Bombyx mori: one gene and its partner. The protein of the gene in region 1 interacts with the protein of each later gene in a biochemical or structural test. Links are inferred from orthologs where the notes say so. Each region holds a gene or a part of one and is shown on either strand. Other genes may lie near its edges.

Region 1 (5,730 bases):
GTAATATCGGTGCGATCATAAACATTATCTGTATCATTTTCTGTTGTTTAGCAACTATCGTCAGGCAGTTGGAACAACCTCTGCCATATCTGAGCTGATTCATTAATTAAATCTACATCCATATTCGTCATTATCGAATATTCTCAGTGCTTAGTGCGAATTTTTGAACTTCTCGATCGCGTAAAGCTTCCCTTCGTTTGCCGCTAGGGGCGCTGTTCCAACTCCATTCTTTTTTTTTTTTTATTACCTTTGTAGGCAGACGAGCATACGGCCCACCTGATGGTGAGTGGTTACCGTCGCCCATGAACTTCAGCAATGCCAGGGGCAGAGCCAAGCCGCTGCCTACCGCTTAATATTCTCCACAAGCCTCGTTTGAAGAAGGACATGTCATAGTTAAAATCAAATTAAAATCAACAAATCTTAGTTAACTTTTACGCGATCGAGAAGTTAAAAAACTCGCACTAAGCACACAGAATTAAGAATGAAATACTTGACATCAGTGGTACCTTTTTCCTTGCAGAGTACGAACAAGAACTCCGCTACCAAGTCCCTCACGCTGGTGACGGGCGTCGTCAGCAGCCGGCACAGGTGGTTCCGCAGCTCGTCGCCCTGCTCGGGGGGCTTCGACACGTCGCGGAGATGCGGCAGCACGGCTTTACGTAAGAACTTACGTTGGACGCGTACACGGGCACATTTATTGAGGACCGTCAATATCGGAGATAGTTTTTCGTAAAGGTTCTGTCGCTCCTATAAAAAAAAAAAAAAAATTTTGCCCTTGTAGGCAGACGAGCAAACGGCCCACCTGATGGCGAGTTGTTACCGTCGTCCATGGACTTCAGGAATGCCAGGGGCAAAGCCAAACCGCTGTCTACCGTTTAATGCTCTCCACAAGCCTCGTTGGAAAAAGGACATGTCATAGAGCTCGGGAAACATCATAGAGGGGAGTTCATTCCAAAGCCAGATGGTATATGGCAAAAAAGATCTCTGGAATCGCACTGTGGATGAATGCAGTGGTTCTAAGTTCTAATATAGAAATAACTTAGCACCTTTTATAGGAAGTGGTCATATTAATATTTCATCATAATCATTATCAGTCTATAGCAGTCCACTGCTGGACATAGACCTCTCCCATTGCATGCCACTGAGCACAATAATAATATTTACTTTTTTATAATTGATGAATACCGAAAGTTCCAACTGAATAAATTATTCTTAATAGTATGTTGCATGAAGATCGGGCGGCATAAACATAAATATCAACATGTGGGCACGAATTAACACATTTCAGATAGTGCTTAAGTATGCTGAAATATATGGGGAGGCAACTAAGTATACATTAACTTTGACAACTACAAGAAACATTAACTTTCCTATAATATATTTTGTAATAACATTGGATTACTTACATCGCTAGCAGTTAGCTGATGTTTCAAAAATTGAAGTAGTATGACCAGTGAAGTCATATCTCTACCTTCATAAATATGGTCAGGCTTTTGTTTGTCTCCAATTTCTTCTGTCAGGGACATATAAAACAGTGTGTGGATGCTGAAATTTGAAAGTAGAAACATTGAACTGGTGGTTAAAAATTACCAGTGGTAGGGCATCTTGTGAGTCCGCACAGGTAGATACCACTACCCTTCCTATTTCTGCAATGAAGCAGTAATGTGTTTTGATTTGAAGGGTGGGGCAGCCATTGTACTTTAGAAATTGAGACCTTAGAACTCATGTTTCAAGGTACCCACCTTGTTGACATGTAAGCTGTAGATGTCTATGGGCTCCGCTAACCACTTAACATCAGGTGCACCCTGAACCCCTCCGTCCATTTAAAAAATATAAAACTTTTATAATTTAATCTTTTAAACTTATTTTAATTGTTATCAAAAATATAATACCTTGTTAGTAGATTAACAATATTATTCATTAAATCTAAATCATTTGATTTGGAGGAGGTTTGTACAGTCATTATCTTCCCAAGCACAGACACCAAGTTTGTAAATTGTTGTTTCTCTTTCTCTGTTGTGGGAGTATCTTCATTAGGCAATATTATGAGGTTAAATAAAGCCTTCGATAACTCGCACACAATTACTCGATCTTCATCCTGTAAGAGAATTTAAATATTTAATCGTTTTAATTTTATGTAAAAATGCTTCTTTATTCATGTTTTAAAAGAAAATTTTACAACCATGTCAGATTGTTTCTTTAAACAAGATATCCCAAAATTTAATGATAACATTTGTAATCCATAATGCAATGAAACTTAATTTATATTAATTACTAAATTAGCAATGTTTATTACATTGATTTGTAATTTCAATTAATGGTATGGTGGTAACTAAATGACAAGGATTTTTTTCTCTAGTATAACTTTGCCTTTCACCTGGTTTTCATTGAGTTTTGAAATACCCTGTATATTTATATGTTTAATTAAAAGTATTCAATATCACTGATAAACAATTTACCTTATGAACAGCATTAACTATTAATCATATTTTAATAAATTGTCATAAGCTTAATGTTATATGACAGGCACTACTAGCCAACATTTTACATTTAATAATCACAAGTGTTCATGTTTAAAATTTTCTTATAACTAGGTATACACACTAGGTTAACTACTTATTTCCCAACATTAATTAAAAAACTTACAGTGAAGTAATATTTTGGAGCATCTTCTGAATTTGCACTAACACTCGCCTCATCAGAACTAGGTTGTAAACTTTCAGAATATATTTCATTGAGATAATTAATCATATGCATTGCACCATCCTCGTGCCTAAATTTTAATCTTATGTTTTCTATTAATGCTGTCAGTATGAAGATCAATTTCATATCATACTGCATTAACTCTTTTTTGTAAGGAATGTGTTTGCATATTTTCATTCGTGTGATAAGCCCATGTGCTATTCTTGTGTTTACACAAACATTACGAGCCAGTTCACTATTGAATGTAATATTACACAAACACTTCATAGCTTCAATCGCTACTTCTTTACAGGGCACGACTAATAGAGTTGGGTCCTTTTCAGCAGACTCCATAGGCTCTAACAAGCCTGATTTGTCGATTAATGTTATGACCCAACGTTCACATAGAACATTTTCAATGTCATCTTGGTCACGGCTAAAATTATACATAAAATTTAATTTCATCCTACATATACAGGGTCTCAAGAGACTATTCTGAAAGTCGAAATGGTAATTAGTTACTATCAACAGTGAATAATTATAGAGACAAATATGAAATTACTTTATTTAAATCAATAATGAGAGTTATCATGTTAAATGTATTTTGGTACACACAGCATAAAGCAAAGGCAGGCCAGCAAATTCCCCCTTGTTCTCATGAGACCATACATTTCTTATATCAATTGAATTATAATTATTTTAAAATGCCTATTATTAAAAAAAAAAAATGATGGAAGGGTGTGTCGTGAGCCCGCATGGGTAGGTACCACCACCCTACCTATTTCCTATTTTCTTCTTTCAGAATCACCAGCTCTACTACATGGATTTTCAGGAATGGTTATTCCAGTTCCAATTGTTACAGTCAGTAGAATTTCAAAAAGATTATTATTGTTAGTTAACACAAACCTAAGAATCCTTAAAGCTTTTAAACATAGTGCATGTGTTGAAACCAAAGCATCATTTTGCAGGTGTTGAAAAAGTGTTGTCCACAGTAAAACTCTGTTAAACCTCTTCGTAAGTTCAGGAAATTTGAAAGTTTTTTCGTTCTGAGAAAATTAGATTATTAGATTAACATTCTGTTGGAATTACCAATATACCAAAGAATCCACAGAAATTATTCTCACTCACGTCTTTAACAAATTTTCGTAAAATATTCGTTATCTCTGTTGAGCTCTTACTATTTCTCAGGTCATCAATTTCCATTTCATCCATTTTCTGGTGTGTAATTCAAATTTATTCACTATTTAATTTAAAGTGTACACTCTAATTAACTTATTAGACTACCAATATCAATAAAGTTTTTAAATTGAAATTTCGAATCGAATTATCAAATGCAAATATTGACACCTAATTCTCGAATATATTAAGTGTATAATCTATGCACCTAATGTATTATCGGAGTAGCACGTTCGTCTATGTCACTTTATGTAGGTTTAAAGTTTTAAAGGGGTGAATGAAGTTAGCCCCTCAAAAAAATTTTTTTTTCCTGTTTTCTACTTATTTTCTATTAATTCGTTTGTTCATCATTTGTTCTTGATTGTTCACTGTTAATAATTGTTTGTTCCCCATTTATTTATTTTAAAAAAAATATTAAAAATATATCTAAAAGCTAGCCCCTCGATTGCAATTTTTAATATTTTTTCGTCCTTAATTACTCGTAAATATTCATTTTCGATTGTTCTTATATAAAATACGTTTGTTCTTTTTCGAAATTACTCATTTTTTGTTTAATTAATTGTATTAGTTGAATAAATGTATACAAAATATGTGTACTGCGCATGCCATAAGTGTATAATCTATGGCGCATGCGTCAACTATAATGCCTAAACTTTCTACGCGGTTTTAATCGTGAAAAAAAAACAATTATAAATCCTGAAGGATCAATTAATTGGTATACAGTTTAATTAAAAAAATTAAAAAATAAATAAATAAAATAATGTGCATTCGCGTAAAGTTAGCCCAAATACATTTTTTCCATCCTCCTATATACCTATCGCTATGAAGGTATAAAAAAGATAGGTTAAGAGTTCACATAGGTAATATAAACAAATAAGTAAATATGTTCATTATTTATCTTTCAAGAGATAATGTAGGTATACATTATAATAACATTTTGACACAGTCGAAATTATATTCCTAACATTAGTAAAATAACATTTTAATAATTTTTTTATAGGTTATGTATTGAAATTGTTGGAAAATTATTTCATGTTTTAGCTGGAAAACTACATGGAGAATTATATGCAATACAAGATAATGAGCTCCATCAAATGAATTCGAATGAAACCAAACTGTTTACCATCCAAATTCGATTGTCGGGCAGATAGAAAACGAAAATTCACTCATAGTGAACCTCGGCCTGCATTTGTGAAACGGCAAAGACTCACTATTATCAAGGAAATTGAAGAGACGACTAAAAATGAGATGTGTCGTATTATTATACCTTTGCCATCTTGTAGTCAAGGTAGGTGTAACTGTCAATAATTAGTTACACTCACAGATCTCCTAATCAAATAACAATATCAGAAAAAATGAGAATAGTTAGTTAGTTAGTGGAAGTAGCCAAAATGGGCAAGTGGATCTCAGTTCCTATTACATAAGGTACTAAGAAGTTTGTGAAAATGAAAATTTATCAGTGTAATATCACTTACTTACTTTAACAGTGAAGGAAAACATTGTGATGAAACCTGCACACCTAAATATTCTTAGGATTTTCTTAGGTGTGTAATCCACCAACCAGCACTAGGCCAGCGTGGTGGACTAAGGTCTAAAAACCCTCTCAATGGTAGTGAAGGCCAGTGTCCAGCAAGGGGATATATTATATGGGCTGATGATGATGACTAGGAAGTTAAATACTACTACTACTACTACGACAGTACACATATAATCCTATATATTTACAAACTATACGTTTGTTGGAAATTGCTAACATTATTTCATATTTCCAGATGTCCAGCCACTTGAAAATAGGTGTAGTAATGACAAAGCTATCCAAGTAGCTCCAGCACAGGAACACAAAGGCAAGGCAAGTGTGTATTGCCACATCAC
Region 2 (5,919 bases), on another chromosome or scaffold:
CTCTTTCTATCATCCGTCATGCGCGCGCATATTGCCGGTTCGGGCTCTATTGACTAAAACCTCAGAGAGGGTTTTCAATATCGAAATATTTGAAATGCTTCTATGCTTGTTTATTTATTTTATTATTTTGTAGTTTAGCTTAGAGTTAAGTTTTTTATGTTACTATGATAGTAGTTTTTATTTATTGTATATATAACAATAATTTATAATATAATAACATTTAGAATTAATAAAAAATATAGTATTGTTCACTGTAGGTGGCTTTTAAAATCAATATGATGGGTCGCAAGCCCGTCTATCTTCTCATGTTCTAATAAAAAATTGTCAACATAATTGTGACCGTTCTAAATCAATATTAAGTAGAAAATGTAATTAATATATATTTGAGCTATAGTTAACCATATGAGCAGTTAATCAGAAAAAATATCACCTATTTTAATAATTATTGTTTTCTCAATTTGATCAATAACTTTCCTTAGCTCAAAACCAAGAAAGGTTTCATCTGCGTTTCATACGTAGGTAAAATTTACATGTATTAATTTTGATAGTAGCTTTACTAACACAGGTTTGTTTTGAATACGAACTGTGATTTTATAGTTTTCATAACACAAAAAAAATACGGGTATTAAGAATAATACCCCAAATTTAATTATTTTTTTGTTTTTAGAAAAGGTTCAGGTTGACATGAAAATTATTTAGAAATATAACATTTTTAATTAGGTTTTTTTGTTCCGGAAGATCAAATTTGATTAGGTGAATTAAGTTACATAGGTACTCCTCTAATTCCGCAATGTTATGCATATACACACCACAAGAACATGAAGCTCTAGATTCAACATCAGGCTCATATTAGTACACCAGTAAATAATCAATGAAGTTCTATATTATTTAAATTGAGATACTTATTCTAATGAGATAATTCTGAAGTCTGAAAGCCTTTATAGTACTTACTTTATTCATAGCACAAGTGACAGGCACATTTGATTAGTTACATTCGACTATTTTGCCTACCTTTCATGATTTTTATGAAATTATGAATTATGGTTTGGTAAGTTGGCTGCTATAGATCTCAATAGAGTTAGACCTCATATCTGAAGGCGCAATTCACTTTGTGATGTCTATAGACTCTTCTTCTTTTCGTACCCATCTCGTGCAATAAAAAAATAATGTCTACCTTTTAAGGACCAGATATAATTTTTTATGATTTTATTGAGTCGTCATGTTAGGATGAACGACGAAATTAAAAGACCCAATATATGAAATAATCAAACGAAAAACTTTGTCTTGTCGATTTCAAAGTGAATCAGTTTGATTTTTCAATGTGTTACTATGGTGGGAGTAGTAAAACCTTTGAAAATTTATTGTCAATAGAATCAAACATCGAATGCTTTTGTAGTTAGGTACTCCCCGAATCCTGATCATGCAGGAGCCAGTCACCGTCGACGCCCTAGACACGTCCTTACGGATCCATCAGATCCAATAACCTTCGCACTAGACGCCTTCAGCTCTAGGAGCAGGCTTAGGGACCTCGTTAACCGTACTCGTCGAACTCGACAAAGAGTTCGCCGTGCAACCTAACCCATGAATCAGCTCGCTGAGTTTCTCGCCGGATCTTCTCAGCGGGTCGCGATTCCGATCCGGTAGTAGATTCATTCGCGAAGCAGCTGCTCTTGAGCTGTTAGGTCTCCTTCGGAGGCGCTCGGGTAGCTGTTAGCAAATCCCACCCCTCCTGGCTGAGCCTTTGCTCGCCCACCTGTCCTGGTGAAACTGGAAAGGCCTCCGGGCCACCAGTAATCCTTCAATCATAAAAAAAAAAAAAAAAAAAAAAGTTAGGTACTATAATATTATTTAAAATTTAGACAATTCTTGTTACGTATATAGAATACAGGAATTATTTCTCCTTCTGTGAAAATGAAATGCTGCAATTTTATGGCGATATTCTGACATATATCGAGTACATTAAGATCAATTGCAAGAATTAAGAAAGCAATTTTTGGACCTGATTAAAAATATTGGAAAACAAAATTCAAGGCCAGATAATTGAATTTACCGGTTGTGACAAAAAAAAAGTGAATAATTGTCTTTGGTCATTGTTCAATTAAAGCGCAATGTTTTATTGCGTTTGTTCTCTTTCGTGTGTAGTATTGTCACGCATGTGTGAGCGAGCTCGAACGAAGAATTCCGAAAGGATCCGAACGTCAGTCGAGCGGGGCGCGGTCGCTGTCACGGAGTGGAGTTGGTGCCTGTCATCCGGCCGCCATTATCTCGCATTTGAACGAGTTCGTAAAATCAATTTAAGTTCGCGTTCCCGTCAAGGGTATTCTGTGCCGGGAGCATTCTAAAATCGATAGATTTGTTACGGTGCATCTACTTGTTGGAGGAAAGTGATAATACGGATTGTACGATCAGTGAAAAGTGGTACTGTTAGGTTCGTGTATTGGGTGCTAATATCGTGTAGGGTGGCTCCGGTAGTGCCGGAGCGACAGGACGCGTGTAGAGCGCATGCTGAGAGATCGGTGAGAGCGCGCCCGGCTCGGGAGTCGGGGCGGCCTGCGGCCATAGCATAGGGAGAACTGCCGATATGGGGTGCGCCCAGTCGGCCGAAGAGCGTGCAGCGGCTGCTCGAAGCAAATTGATCGATAAGAACTTGAAAGAGAATGGTATTCAGGCATCAAAAGACATCAAGCTATTGTTGTTAGGTATGGTATTTTACAGTTGTTTCATGTCAACATTTGGCCGCACCCATGTAGTTCCTTTAAACGTAATTTAAAGACTTCGACGACGTTTTCATAGCCCCGTTACCGCTCAACTCTTTTAACTATTTCTGTGCTAGTTTCTGTAGTTCGGTAATGAATTCTAAGTACTTTCTCTCATAATGAATCTAATCACCATATTACAGTGCATGTGTAGTTCTATGTGTAATCGAAAGTTCTATTTTGTTAAACAGGACGAAACAAAATCATTTTAAAGGCATACAAGAGTATAATTATCTCTTCAAAATACATGCACAATTAATGTTACATTCCTCCAGTAATCGTTTATTTATCTTTAAATGTGTATTTTATGTTAAAGGCCAATATGTTATGATTTTGTTGCTATCAATGCCCATTTAATAAATCATTCTCGGTGTTTTAAGTTCTAAAATGGATTGGAAAACGAACTTGATGGTCAAAAATAAGATATTTTTCACTGAATTTCATTGAATTAACCTACTGTTTATATTCTCAACAAAATCATCCAAATGAACTAAGAAGACGAAAAAGAAAAGATAGATTTATTGTATGTTAATAAATCATATACATCCTCACCATCACCATCAACTCACATTAGGATACCCATATTGGCCATCAGCACCAAATGTTCCTTCATAGATATAAAAATAATGTATTGTCGCTAAAAGAAATTTATTGTACTTAAATATATTTTTTGTTCTTCTGTATGTCTTTTACCAAAGCTTATTTTGGTAAAATAAGTAACTAGTATAGATTAGCAATATAATAACATGAGAACCATCTCATGTATTATATGCTAAACATATTTACACACATAAATACCAATTTATGTGTGTAAATATGTCTCTAACATAGATAAGTTTTAAAAGTGTAGAACTTTCAAAACTTATCAACTAAAATGTTTTGTAAACATTCAACAATTTAAAATTGTATTTTACCATGGCTGGTTCCATTAACCTGTTGACAAAATTTTGAACCCTTGCCAATACTCTTCGGTTCACATCCATTCATGAATAGTTTTACTCTAGAATGATGTAATAGTAGTAGTATTATTTTATGTATTTCAGTTTTTGTATTCTTTAAGCCTATTTAAATTCATTAATTGCTATATATTTAACATTAGATATAGCTATTACATATAAGAGTTCTACTATTACCACAAACTATTAAAAAGACGAGCAAAAAATCTAGAAAAGTCATATAATCAGTACAAATTAAATGAAAACAAACCTTTTGTCACCAAAATCTGAAATTTCAATCTATCAGTGAGTTTATTTGTATATTAGCCAAAATGTTGTGTCACAGCAAACTGTTTTCAAAGATATATCTAAACAATAATGAGAGAACCAAATGAATGCAAAATCAATGTAACTCATTTCAAATATATGAAAAAATATTGTCATATAGCAAAACAAAAATTATTAAAATAGCCTACAAGCTATCTCCATGTTTAAAAATAGATTAAATAGAAAGCTATCTAGTTTTAAATGAAACAGAAATTTTGTTCAAGTAGTGTTTACCCAATGGTTAAAATTCAAAAGTAGTCAGTCACTGACACTTTCAAGAAGTATTTGCATTTTTTTTATTGATCTCACTAAAGGTATCAAACAAAAAATACAACAGAACCGTTTTGTTTTGCCTACGACTTATAAAATACAAATAAATTACTATATTAAATTGACTGTTAAATATAAAATAGTAATCAAACCTATGCTTTTGCCTTTGTTCCGAAGAATGGTTCATAGACAAAACTGAGAATATGCTGACATAATAAACAAAATATTTAATCCTTTCCCATGTAAATAGTCATTAATCATAAATTAATATAATAAGAATTGTATGCTTAGTCATGACCCTAATATGAATCATTTGGGTTTTCCTCAGTTCATTAGCATAAGTAATTACATAAGCTCAAAATGCTGTCTTAAAAATTATCATAAATTTAAATATTCACAAGTAAATATGAAAATGTAAATACAGTAAATCAGATTCACCTACCTTTTTGACTAACTTCATAAATTTAAAAACACAAATTTATGAAAAAATGCGCAAGAACATTGACTTTTAGTGATTATTATACAATGTCACAGATTGTGACTCACTCTATCTTAATTAATGATCTAGGAATTTGGAGGTGATTTTTTGTGTAGAAACCTAGAAAGTAGTGTACATCTAGATTCAAGTAATTATGTCTATTTCTGCTGTTGCAGCAGTCGTGTTCCAGATTGATGGGTGGATCATCCTTTACGCCAGGGGCTCTCAAACTTATTTTGTCTACTTCCCACCTTGAGATTAAATAATTTTTTAGCACTCCTATTTTTTCACCTATTTAAAAACCACTATAGTGAGAGCTCAGCCGGTGTCTAAGAGTCCTAGATGAAATTACAAATCGCCTCCCAAGCCTTTACACAATGCCCCCCTTTTTTTGGGTCTTTTACCGCCCCCGTTTAGGCCTGCAGCGACCAGAAGGGGGCGTTATCGCAAAGATGCAATTAAATTGAGTCTGTGACCTCATGTCTTAATTTTAATGCCAGCATTACTTTCTATGTCTGTGATTTTTGGTAAATACATAATACCATGTAGGCCATGAACACTTTCATCCTACTATAATATAAAAATTAAATGTAGCGCATTTTTGTCGAATTAGAATTTTCACATAATTATTTTAACTAGTGTACGCCCAATGTTCGAAATTCGACCTTAATAACTGACATCTCAAGGTCTAGATTCGTTTTCGGCTTATATTTTCTCTTTAGATCGGTTTATTTTGAAAGGAAACCTGGTCAATGGCTTTAATGTTATGAAATTAAGAAAAGAAAGATTATTGGCTAAGAAACAGGAAAAAAGCGGTACTTAACTGTTTTGTCTTTTCCTATTCATAAATGATACACAATTTATTTTTATGATACCCCTCATGTAGATAGTAATAATCGTGTGATTAAGATTTTTAGTTGATTCAATAATTTGAATATATTTAACCATAAATATATTTGTGATCTAAAAGAATACACATGCTAGCTAATAAGCTATACGATATAATACGATATACCTAATAAGGTATATCGTTCGTAATTCTTACGAAGTTAATTGATCTGTCACGTCATGATGTCGTGGCCATGGTGCGTACCAATCCGACCATGAACATCGTTGCTTGTAGTTTGACTTATACATATCATAGGTATGTTTC

The links. The genes of interacting proteins can lie anywhere in the genome.
Region 2: of the proteins of synembryn (region 1) and Go, one has a biochemical effect on the other in vitro, tested with the Caenorhabditis elegans proteins (2 studies listed by BioGRID). The link is inferred for Bombyx mori from reciprocal best matches to the Caenorhabditis elegans genes ric-8 and goa-1.

Annotation. Positions count from the first base shown.
Region 1 is NC_085119.1:6,704,765-6,710,494, forward strand, and holds the start of synembryn, read right to left. Parts: upstream 4,093-5,730; 5' UTR 3,895-4,092; coding exon 3,811-3,894; intron 3,729-3,810; coding exon 3,589-3,728; intron 3,119-3,588; coding exon 2,647-3,118; intron 2,099-2,646; coding exon 1,893-2,098; intron 1,546-1,892; coding exon 1,407-1,545; intron 748-1,406; coding exon 507-747; intron 1-506. UniProt on the Caenorhabditis elegans protein: Chaperone that specifically binds and folds some, but not all, nascent G alpha proteins prior to G protein heterotrimer formation, promoting their stability and activity.
Region 2 is NC_085125.1:9,524,982-9,530,900, reverse strand, and holds the start of Go (G protein alpha subunit Go), read left to right. Parts: upstream 1-2,446; 5' UTR 2,447-2,581; coding exon 2,582-2,699; intron 2,700-5,919. UniProt on the Caenorhabditis elegans protein: Guanine nucleotide-binding proteins (G proteins) are involved as modulators or transducers in various transmembrane signaling systems. In the 1-cell embryo, probably together with gpa-16, controls nuclear rotation and spindle elongation during mitosis.